Linked DNA regions of Arabidopsis thaliana. The protein of the gene in region 2 purifies or fractionates together with the protein of the main gene of each other region. This does not show direct contact. Each region holds a gene or a part of one and is shown on either strand. Other genes may lie near its edges.

Evidence for each region.
Region 1: the proteins of RPS5 (region 2) and PBS1 purify together in Arabidopsis thaliana (affinity purification with western blotting; one study listed by BioGRID). This does not show direct contact.

The regions. Positions count from the first base shown.
Region 1 is NC_003076.8:4,174,519-4,180,552, reverse strand, and holds PBS1 (Protein kinase superfamily protein), read right to left. Parts: upstream 4,048-6,034; 5' UTR 3,700-4,047; coding exon 3,573-3,699; intron 3,074-3,572; coding exon 2,871-3,073; intron 2,264-2,870; coding exon 2,074-2,263; intron 1,828-2,073; coding exon 1,436-1,827; intron 1,330-1,435; coding exon 871-1,329; 3' UTR 544-870; downstream 1-543. Other genes in the region: EXO70C1 (exocyst subunit exo70 family protein C1), read left to right, coding at 5,623-6,034.
Region 2 is NC_003070.9:4,142,511-4,148,665, reverse strand, and holds RPS5 (Disease resistance protein (CC-NBS-LRR class) family), read right to left. Parts: upstream 4,410-6,155; 5' UTR 4,033-4,409; intron 3,879-4,032; exon of another isoform or gene 3,658-3,878; 5' UTR 3,656-3,657; coding exon 986-3,655; 3' UTR 752-985; downstream 1-751. Other genes in the region: AT1G12230 (Aldolase superfamily protein), read right to left, coding at 331-472, 563-616; AT1G12211 (uncharacterized protein), read left to right, coding at 4,552-4,800; RFL1 (RPS5-like 1), read right to left, coding at 5,061-6,155.

The DNA.
Region 1 (6,034 bases), on a different chromosome or scaffold from region 2:
TTAATATAACTATAAATAACTCGTAAGAAATAATAATATGAAATATATATACTTGTTAACTAACTTACATTTTAAACCGTAACGACAAAATCCGACAAAGAATCATATATATTATAGCGAATTTTGACAAATTACGCATGCCAGTGTAGGATACGCTATGTAATTTATAAAATTAGTATGTCTCTTGATGGAAAAAAAGACAGAGGTTTTTAGTTAATAATTTTTCCTCTTACTTAAAAAATTCTAAAATTTAGGACTATCTAGTAAAGAATAGATTCTCCGAGTATTTAGAGGCCAAGAAATGATATTCACCAAAACTAAAACATACGGGAAGTTTCGACATCCATTTCAATAGACTACACAGTACACTGTCAATAGTAAAAAAAAGTCCCGACAAAAACTTGATAAGACCAACTAAAATCTTACAATCTGAATAAGCCATCCTTAAAATAATTGTCAGATTGCGAGGGCATGTGACCCACGTTGTCCGAAACTCCGCGATTGTGGACATTAGCCACACTACTGAACCACATGAATAGAGTCCAGAAACACTTAATATTGGATCTTTGCTATTCAATCTTTCAATGAGACGTAAACATCGCCACATGTGACTCATCATGAAACACATATCTGTCAAAATTTAAAAATAGAAAGACTACAAAATTTACATGAACAATCTTCACAACTCTCCAGAATCTCAATTAGAGAGTTTTGGTTATTAACCTTTGTGCCCATATTGCAACATCACATATATAATGTACAGCAACTCGTCGTCCCAATGTTTTTTTGTTTGTTTTCTATGTTTGACAATAAATGAGAGTCTTGAGAGAAATAAGAACAAAAAAGGGTCAAGACCGACCCAAACCGGTTCTACCCGGTACTGTTGCTCTCTGAAGTACCCTGCTCGCTCTGTCTTCGTTTCTCCCTCAAACTCTCTCCCCACATCTTAGCCTCTGCAACCGCACGCTCCCTATTGATATCTCGGTTCAATATCCGAGCTGTCTCTCTCGGTGAATCTTCTTTCTCTGAACCTTCTAAATCGAATTTACTTCCCGAGCCACCTCCATCGTCGTTCCTTGTTATTAACCTTGCACCTCTTTCATCCCGGTTTCTTCTACTATCATCTTTACTTGGATCATAAGCTTGGTTTGCAAGATAGGAGAGTGCAGTGACAACATCTGCTATGAGAGGACGTGTAGCCGCCTGTTCTTGGATGCACATTGATGCCACAGCTAAAGCTTGGTAGAGTGCACGCGTTGGAAACCGCCCCTTTAACCTTGGATCAGCCAGTTTTATGAACTTTCGCCTGTCGTTGAACAATGGGCGAGCCTGTTACCACCAAAATGTTAACTATTAGGACCAAAAAAATTCTCAAGACTTCTTGCATACGAGAATAATGGCAAATCAATTGGAAGATGATGACGAGTTGATTTACCCAAGCCACCAGGTTCTGCTCTCCATGAGGCATCTCGCTGTCTATAGCTTTGCGACCAGTAATGAGCTCGAGAAAAACCACACCAAAACTGTAGACATCTGATTTTACTGTCAATTGTCCCGTCATTGCGTACTCGGGAGCACAATAACCATAAGTTCCCATAACTCTAGTGGAGACATGAGATTTGTCTCCCGTTGGTCCGAGTTTAGCAAGTCCAAAATCAGAAAGCTTAGGGTGGAAACCCTCATCCAGTAAAATATTTGATGACTTAAAATCTCTATAAATAACCGGAGGGTTTGCCTTATCATGTAGAAATTCCAATCCTTTCGCCGCACCAGCAGCTATTTTCATTCTCATGTTCCAATCTAAGGCCTCCTTATCCGGTGGAAGATCTGGAAAAAATTATTTGTTAGAGGCTGCCAAAGAAAACAAGCAACTACTACTTCTCAACTTAAGTCTACATGTATAATTTATAGGTAATGATTATAACAAATAAATAAATGAATGAAGAATCTGTTAAAGTTAGGGTTGACATTGACTAAGATAAGAAAGAATCTTTGGATTGATGTTGATCACAAGGAATCTCTGAGGTCTAATAAAATGGTAAGAGATTAGAAAAGGGCTGGCGAGAGATTTACCGTGGAGGTGATCTTCCAATGATCCTAACGGCATAAACTCGTAGACCAAGAGGCGTTGATCTCCATCAGCACAATAACCAATAAGGTTGACTAAGTTGGGATGATGAAGAAGACTGAGCATAAGAACCTCTACCAGAAATTCTCTGTTACCTTGTAGACCATTCCTGTCTAGTTGTTTAACAGCAACAACCTGAAAATGATTGAAAAAAAAATAGATCAGAGGTACAACATTATGTATTGCGAAATCATCGAGCTAAACAAGTGATCTGAAACACACAGGTGACATGGATCAAAAGTAAAGACATAAATGTAAAACTGTTCACCAAGTATGCAGAATTCATGTTAACATATATACAAAATTAAAAAGTCAGTCATCTTTTTAACACTGTAAACATATGTACAACCGGAAGATGGCAAGCAGTATCTTGCATATTCATTTCCTGGCATATTCATCATTCAAGAAAAATGTTGAAGGCCAAGAGAACATCAAGACCTTACCCTACACTCACTTCACAAAGAGCGTCATTCTTGAAATTTCACACGTATTAAGAAACAATTTCAAGCATGTCTCTTGTCATTTACCAAGACTACACATAAAATTGGAATTCTCTCCAAAATTTAGCATTTGAAACGTACAAACGAAACTCCTTATGAAACAAAAAAAATCCTAAAGTGACACTTATTAGATAAGACTCATTCAATATATGAAGCAAAATCTCCCACTAAAATGAATAACAACAATGGTAGAAATAGGAATGCGATGTAATTTACTTAACTTCAAACGAAACAAAAAATACCTGACCGGTGCTGTCAAGCCTTCCTTTGTAGACACGTCCAAATCCACCTTCGCCTAAGAAAGTGTCAGGATGAAAGTTCATAGTTGCAGCAGCAAGCTCGCGGAAAGCAAATGTATGAGCAGCAATTTGTCCAAGTCCATCCCTTGGAAGCAGTAGCTCCCTTTTTGATCCTCCATTGGTCTTTGAGCTAAGCTTCTCCCCACCTGCAACGTCATGATCAAGACCAATCAATTTACCAAACACATCCACTCACAGCCTTCTCATACCTCATGCCAACTTAAACTCCAATAACAAATCACCCTAAAAGCATAAAACTTGTATCAATGTCTCCAAGGCACAATCCCCAAATAACCAAATCTAAGATCTTAATCCTAATTCAGTAGGGATCACGTGATCCTGATCCTCACAAGGTTCGATTCCTTTTCAAGACACAAAATTTACACTGAGCACAAGCTAGAGACTTCCCAATCAGATCAAAACAAGTGAAATTGAAGCAAAGAATGACACTTTCACCAAGAAACACAGTTGAATCAGAACATGCCCAATAGCTTAAAAAAACATCTGACAAGCTCATAAAACCAAAGTAACAGTGATTGAGATCAAGTCCCGTTAGCTTAACCAGAGGATCAAATAACCAGATCTTATGAGCATGTAACGAAAGTGGATTAAAACATAAAAAAGCACAAATGAGTAAATCAAAACCTGAAGGGAGTCCAGATATGTTATTGGATACTGTCGGTTGTGATTGTTTCTTCTGACCATGATTAGATTCATCAACTGGATTCAGCTTCTCGTCATCACTCGAATCAAAACACGAGAAACAACCCATCTCCTCCTTTACTCAATTTTCCCAATAACCAAAAACTACAATCCTACTGGGGAATCAATGAACAGGAGCGATTGGATAAATATAAAAAAAGGCGAGACTTTTCCTATACCCAGAAGGAAAGAAGGAGAATTGAGATTCTGGGTACCAATAAAAAACCCAACTTTGTTCAGATTCGAAACTGGTAAAAACGAATTGGAGTTGAGAGAGAAAGAGAAGGAGAGAGAGAGAGATGAAGAAGCAGCTTCTTTTGTCGTCCACGAGTGTTCACACTATTACCAATTGCGAATTAACAATGACGCGTTGCTGAAACTCTCAGTAAATCCTTCCTTCGAAACTTTTCTCGTTGACGAGATTATCTTCAATACAAGCAAATTAACTTCTTTTCTTTTTCTTTTTGTTAATTTAAGCAAACAAATCTTCTTTCTGCTGTCAAAATAACAAAATTAGTAAAAAAAACTTATTACTTATTTTTAATCACTTTACATAAAATCATATTTCTTCAGTTTCTTTTTATAAAACTTTTTGAGAGTATATATATATATTTTTTTTTTTGAATTTCTATAAATAGTTTTTGGTCATAGAAATGTTGTCATTAATCACCAAACAATTGTTTTAAACTCATTTACCCTTGTAAAATTAAAGTGATGATAGTGTTGACACTTGAACTCATAATCTCCTATAAGTCTTTTTGGTTCTCTCAGTCAAAACTTAATTTTTACCTTCACCTATTGTACAAGTGGATTAATTTTCCCCCTGATTGCACAACATGACTTGTAAAACTCAGGATATATCCCCTTTTTTCTCTAGCAAACTCTATACCACAACACTACAAAAAGATAACTTTGCTTTGGTCTTGAAGCAGAGAACGAAACTATAGCTTGCATTTTCATGTCTTGCTAGATATTGCTATTTATAGTCTCATACGCGAGAACCAAATATTTAGCAGCGCTTATCAGTTTAGTTATATAGTCATTTAAAAAAGAAAGGAATTGACAATCAGCATTAACTGATTATCAATCAAAAGTATTAACTATCAATCAAACTATTATCAATCAACCTCTGGTTAAGATAACGTGTCATTTACCAATCAAATGATGGTGTAAACATATTTCATAGATCCTTGATCGTCAGCCTCAATCAACGATTATACCATGCTCGTCAAATGCATGATTGGTTTGACTAAAACTTAGATGCACAATTTGCTTAAATTGCGGAAAAACATAAGAAGTAATTTTGGTGTAGCAATTTTGTTTGTTTGTTTGTTGCATGATTTTAGTGGAACAAAGAGCAAAATCCAGATTTGAAGCATACAAGTGAGTCCGGTCATTGGCTAAAATATGCAAAGCATAGTAGACTTTATAAAACAAACATGAAAGAAACAGACAAAGGCCTCATCAAATATATTTAGCTTTAGGCTTCCAGCCCTGGACTCACACAATATACCCTTGGATCACAGAGTATATGACATAAGCCCAAATATAAACTAAATTGCTGAATCATAATATTACATAATTTTTCCAACACATTATAAATAAACCTCAAGTTTGATCAGGCTGAGTTTGATTAATTCCTTAATATATAAAGTACAATTAAAAAAAAATTGGAGAGATCGTGAGACGCATAACCTTTCCCTTCTCGGTCAACGGCCAATGGATACCCAAAAAAACGAACCTCAGAAATAAAAGAGAAAATATATAATAACTAAAACAGAGAAGAAAAATTCACAATTAGTATCTTCGAAGAAGAAAGAAAGAAACTCTAATAATGGATTATTAAGAATAATCCTCACACTAATCTCCTCCATTCTTCCCATTTTTTCCCCATCTTAATTTCCTCAAAAACACCAAAAAAAAAAGACAAAAAAAAAACAAAAACAGAGAAAAAAACAGTTAGATAGGGTTTTAAAATTTTTCCCGGCGAAAAATGGAGAAATCTGGAAATCACCATCACGCAAATGAATCATCGGAAAATCATGATCACAAATCTGAAGATCACGAGAATAAACAACATTCCGATGAACTGCATTCATCGACGCCGGAATCACAATCGGAATCCTCCGAACATAGCCTCGTCGAGGTGATGGAAGCCGTCGTCGATTTCATTCAAACACTTTCTTCCGAGAAAGATCCGTTAGGAGAGATCTCACCAGCGGTGGAGTCATTCCCGGAGGCGGTGGATTCATTGGTGTCAAAAATGGAATCTTCCGGGCTTGGGCGGGACGAAACAGAGGACTCTGTATTCATCGACGCCGTTAACCGGATTTCGAAATCGGTTATGAGATTGAGAGAGCTTAAATTAGATTCAACACCGGTTTCTTCTTGGTTAAACCGGGCGA
Region 2 (6,155 bases):
GAACTTTAGGAAAACCGATATCATCCAAGAACAATGTTAAACACCAAATACACAATTTGTTTCTTCAAATTCAACCATAAATCAACACTGTTCAGCTAAGAACTAAAGCAACCAGAAGGTCCTGAACTAAGAAAGGTAAACCAAAAATAGCAACTTTGTCAAGCATAGTTTCCTAACAAGTGACTCAAGACAGTATAAAAACAAACCCACATAAAAAGAAAGCTTGAATCGTAGTCAATCTTTCAAAAACCCATACTTTTGTTTTGTCTTTCCAGAAATCGTATTTATTAATTAATGAGAAACACGATCATCAAAGATATAAACAAATACCAGCTTCGAGAGACGAAGACGCAGGAGAGGAGGAGGAACTAGCGGAAGCAAGAATCCGAGGAATCGATCGCCGAAGACTGAAGTTAACGGCGGGAAGAGGAGTAACGGAGAATCCGGCGGCGAGCGTCTTCCATCGTCCCTTCTGCGAAGTTCAAAGCTCGCATCCATTAGATAAAAAACAAACAATGCACAAATACATGCGATTGAAAGAAGTAAGCGAAGAGGAGAGTACTCGGATTGAAGCAGAGAGAGTTGCACAAGGCGGAGATTGCAACGAGAGTGGCATTTTTTTCGCTGAAGTTGATCTGAGTAAGCAGATCCAGCCGTTGATATCTTCCAATTAACGTGGGTCCCGCCTTTTCTAATTTATCCGAAAACTGTCAACGAGATAAGACAGTTAATTATTATTTTATTACAATGGTTAGGAACTTGCAAGTTTTTATTCATTTTCTCATGAGTCTCTGTGTAATGTTTCTATGAAGCCGAAACAAACACTCATCGTTTAGAGAAAGAGATAAGTACAAATCCAATGATCACTAACCAAAAGAACGATGAGAACGGTTATGCAAACAAGAAGAGACAAGGAAGAGATTTACACACCGGCAAATGTCTTTAGACCATGACAACAAAAGTTTGTAGAAGAAAGTGAAGTTCATTATGTTTCTCTCCACCGCCACCTGGATGAAGGTAAGAAACGGAGTTGAGTTGCTTGGTCCTCCCATTCAACCCTTTCTATCCATTCTCTCTCTCCATAATATATGACAAGTTCTTCACCCGCGATCCCACTTTTAGAATCCAATGGAAGCTTTCTCAGCTTTTCACATTTTTCTACGTGGATAACTTTCAGACACGGAAAATGCAGAGCCTTTGCATAGATTCTCTTGAGCCCGCGTAATTCAAACAGGTGTAGTGTCTCCAATTTCCTAAAAGGAACAATCGTAGCTGAATGCTCCTCAGCTTTCTCTTCACTAATTATATCCTCTACTTCCTTTGAGAACCCAACTTCAAGAAAAGTAAGATTAGGAGCAAACAAAAGCCACGTCAAATCCTTAAGACCATGGCATTTAGCTATAAAGACTCTGGAGAGGTTTGAGAAGCATGGAGTTGTGGGACTTTTGTTCCGAGACGATGATGAAGTTGTCCTCTCTATCTTTATCTCCCTCATTCCACATCTTTTTATCCCGAGCTTGCGGAGATTACCCATGGTTGGCAAAGTCAATACTCTCACTGATTCTTCCTTAAGGTACTTAAAATCTACCTCTTTTATACATTCCACCAACCTTTGAGAGCATAACAATGGCTCTGCAACCAAACTTGATGATATATCTAGGGTTATAACTTCTAGATGTTCTAAGAGCTGCAGCTCCTTCACTAAACTCATATCTAGCAACAGTCTGGAATCTCGTAGTCCCAATGTCCTCAAATTCCACAAATTTGATATCCCTAATATACTCCCAAGACTGCTCATGTGTTCGAGATTCAGATGTATTAGCTTTTTCAATGTCCATAAACCAACGGGTAGTTGATGTATACATGTATATGACAAGTTGAAATATCTCAAAGAGGCCAGCTCTGATATTTCTTCTGGTAATTCATTAAGACTCTGATTCTCTGATAGATCTAAAACCACCAGATGAGGCATACATCGAAAGAATTCAGCCGAGATCTTTACCACGTCGTTCTTTTGGAGAAATAGAGTTGTAAGTGCAGCACACTCGTGACTGTCAAATATCTCTTCAATCTCATTATTCATCAAAGAAATCTTTCTCACAGTGTTCCAATCCTTGACTTTTGGTACTTCACGTAACCCAACACCAGCTCGCACAATACATTTCTCCTTTTGCTTCCCAAGATCGGATGATATCCATAGAGCCATCTCACGAACCACATCATGCATTTTCACGTTTGATTTGTTCCTTTCTTCCTCCAACAACAAACATGCACGGACAAGGGTACCAATTATCTCATAACCTTGGTTAATATTCCTCTCTCTGCCTTCTTTTTCATTTATGAATCCCTCACTTATCCAGTAGTCTACCAACCCCTCTTTATCAATAAGATAGTCTTCAGGAAACAGAGAGCAATAGAGGAAGCAGGATTTCATCAGCTCCCCATTTAAATTATCATAGCTATACTTCAAAACATGGAGAATTTCATCTTCCATACCTGAAAAATCTATGGCAGATGATGTTAAAACGTCAATGGCATGACACCATTCATGTACTGTTCTTTTGCATGCCATAGCTTCACCGATAACATTGAGTGCTAATGGTAGGCCACGACATTTCCTAGCGACTTTTCTAGCAAGTCCGGGAATGTCTGGGTGACTTCCCAGTGTATTTTTCCCAACCTTCATTTGAAACAAATCCCAAGATTCTTCGGGTTGTAGACAGCTAACTTCCATCGGATCATCAACCCCCATGCGCCCACACACATCTCGAGAACGAGTAGTGAATGCTACCTTGCATCCGTTATCTTTGCTTGGATACGGGACTCCAACCGCTTTTAAATTCACTTTCTCCCATATGTCATCCAACAATAAAACAAACTTTCGTCTCCTAAGGACATTGTGGATGTCAACGGCTATCTGGTTATCGTTTTTCTCGCTCCACTCCATTCCCCCAAGGCCTACCTTTTCTGCTATGTCTCTTTGTATCTTACGGACTGTTGAACTTCTAGACACAACAACCCATATCACAACATCAAATCTGTCATCTATTTTAGAAAACTTATTGTTGATCTTCGTGAGTAGTGTCGTTTTGCCTACTCCCCCCATACCGTACAGACCCAAAATCCCGGATCCATCTTCCATGAGACGGTTCCATGCCTTTTCAAGCATTATCTCCTGACCAACAATTGTGGGTTGAAAAGGGATCTCATCCACATCAGCAAACGGAGTTGCCTCAGAAACCACATCAAAGAATCCTTGAGAACTGAGACTCTCAACTTCCTTCAACATCATGATAACTCTTTTCCCATAACGATAGCTCAATTTCAAATCTTTGGAGCAGAAACCACAAAGACACAACCTTTGAAGCTCAACTTCATTACTACGAAGCAGATCATTAAACTGGTTTTGAATGATTAGGACACTAGTAAGCCATACCTGAACTTGGGAAAGCCTTTGTTGACGCCCTGTAAACTCTTCTGTTTCCAACCTTCTTATCACATCATATTGCCGAGCCTTGAGCATTCGCATGGCCTTCTGCAGAGAAGCCAGATTCTTGGAGAGATTGTGAATATAACTTCCCCTGACACATAACAACTGAGAGAACTGACTCACTACTTGATCACATGGCAATGAAACAGAGAAACAACCTCCCATCTCTGCACAATCAAGGAAAAGAGAGAGAGTGAGAGAGAGAGATTCACAGATTAGGTAGAGAAGAGGAATAGATAAGAAAGGAAAAGTCTATGTCACTATATGCATAATATAAAATCTCTAAGACTAGTCAATGTATAGTAAAAACGTAAACTTTGAAACAATCCAAAGATGTCAGTATGTCATCACTACGTTGACTAATCTCTAATAGACAAACAAAAAAGCTAAGAATCATCTCAAAGAACATTTAAGGGTTTATGGTTCTGTAGAATTGCAATCATCTTGAACTCAGATCAACGAAGGAACTTACTAAACTCACAAAAATAACATTTAAATTTTCCATAGAGAAATAGTTTTTCACTTGAGAAAGGAACACTTACAAAAAAAAATCTCCACAGAGACAATTCATCAAACAAGTGGTGTGCACACTGGAATTGATCACATAGGGTAATAAAAAATAGGCTGACGAACCAAATTGAGAAATCAAAATCAACTCATCATACTAGCATACTTGTCTTCTTCTATCTTATACTTGAGGAAACAGAGAGAGAACACTATTAAGGAACATATTTTCACATTCTTCCCACTTAAAATACAATCCTAGCTACATTACAATGAACACTCACAATCCAAACATACAACTAAACTGGAGTTGTTGTTAGAAGTTTGATGTGCAAGTCATGTTGACAGATGAAGCAAAAAGCAGAGTAACAGAACAAAACCAACGACACTTTTTTGAGGTTTAAGGGGTCAAGATTTCGATTCCGTACGGCTAAAAGATTAATTGACAAACCAAACCGAAGTTGGGCCGTGGAATAATAGAAAAAAAGTTAGGCCCAAATGACATATATAAATATATATATATAGCTAGGGTTTAGGAGGCAAAGGACAAAAGAATCATGGGGAAGAATCATCATCCCTTGGGCCGGAGGGGCGGGTGGGGCGGGTGGGGCGGGTGTTTCGGGCCTATGACAACATCGAAACGTAATGTTTACGCTGGAAGAAAATTCAGTACGTGTGCGAGACTTTATAATTTGAAGGGATCGGATCACTCTGATCAATTTCATATTCAGGTTATTCACTTAATCTTTGCAATTGAGAAATATTTCTGTCATCTAGGCTTTTATTTATTGAATTCATTGATTTGATTATTCTTAATTACAACTTGTGTTATTATATATTACAGGAAAAGTTGTCGGAGATTAGCTAAGGATTCGATTCCTCCGCTACGAGCCCTAAGCGTAAAGAAGAAGAAACTCTTGATGATAATCCACCTCAAGATGTCATCTACCTCAGTAGACGGAGCTGTCTCAACCACCACATCAAACTCTACTTAAGAGAACTGAGACTCATAATATTCCTTCACATCACAAGAACCATTTTCCCATTTTTTGGGTCATGGGGCTCCTCAACGCAGCCTACAAGTAGGTAAGAAACGGTATTGTGTCGCTTCGTCCTCCCATTCAACTCTTTCTATCCATTTTTTCTCCTTGTATTTTATGACAAATTCTTCAACTTTGACAACACTTTTAGAATCCAGCGGAAGCTTTCTCAGCTTCGGACAATTGTTTAGTATGTCAAGACATCTCAAACGCTGAAAAGGCAGAGCATTCCAGTAGATGCTCTTCAGCTCAGACAACTGATACAAGTTCAGGCATTCTAGTTTCTGGAAAGGAAGAATCTCCTTTTCTAAAACACTTGCAGCTTTCTCTTTGCTTATTATATCCTCCAGATGCTTACACCCCCAAACGCGAAGATTGATCAGGTTTGGAGCAAACAGCAGCCACGTCAAATCCTTTAAACCATCACACCCTTCTATTCGCACATTAGAGAGGTTTGAGAAGTTGGGATTTGTTAGATTTTTTTTCCATGGTGTCTTCTCTATCATTATCTCCCACATCCAACAGTTCCATATGGAGATGTAACACAGATTATGTATAGCTGGCAAAACTAATACTCCTACGGATTCCTCCGGACGCTCCCAATGGTCCCTAATATAAATGTGTTGAATACATCTCCCAACTCTGGGATAACAGAACAATTCCCCAACCAAACCTGACGAGATATCTGTGGTTATGAGTTCTAAATGTTCTAAGAGCTGTAGTTCTTTCATAAGCCCCGTATCTAGTGTCGTTTTTGAATCTCTTAGTCTCAATGTTCTCAAACTTGACAAATATGATATCCCTGAAATGCTCTCAAGTCTCCTCGTCCTTTCCAGTTTCAAATGTACTAGCTTTCTCAACTCGTGTAAACCATGAGGTAGTCGCTCTATATATGTCCCGGACAAATCAAGATACTGCAAGGACACCAACTCTGATATTTCTTCTGGCAGTTCACTAAGACTGTGATTTTCTGATAGATCCAAAACAGCTAGACTAGGCATACACCGAAAGAATTCCATTGAGATGTCTACCAACTTGTAGTTATTCTGAAGGAACAGAGTTATAAGTTCAACGCATTCGGGACTGCCAAGTATCTTTTCAAAATTGTTATTCATTAGCGA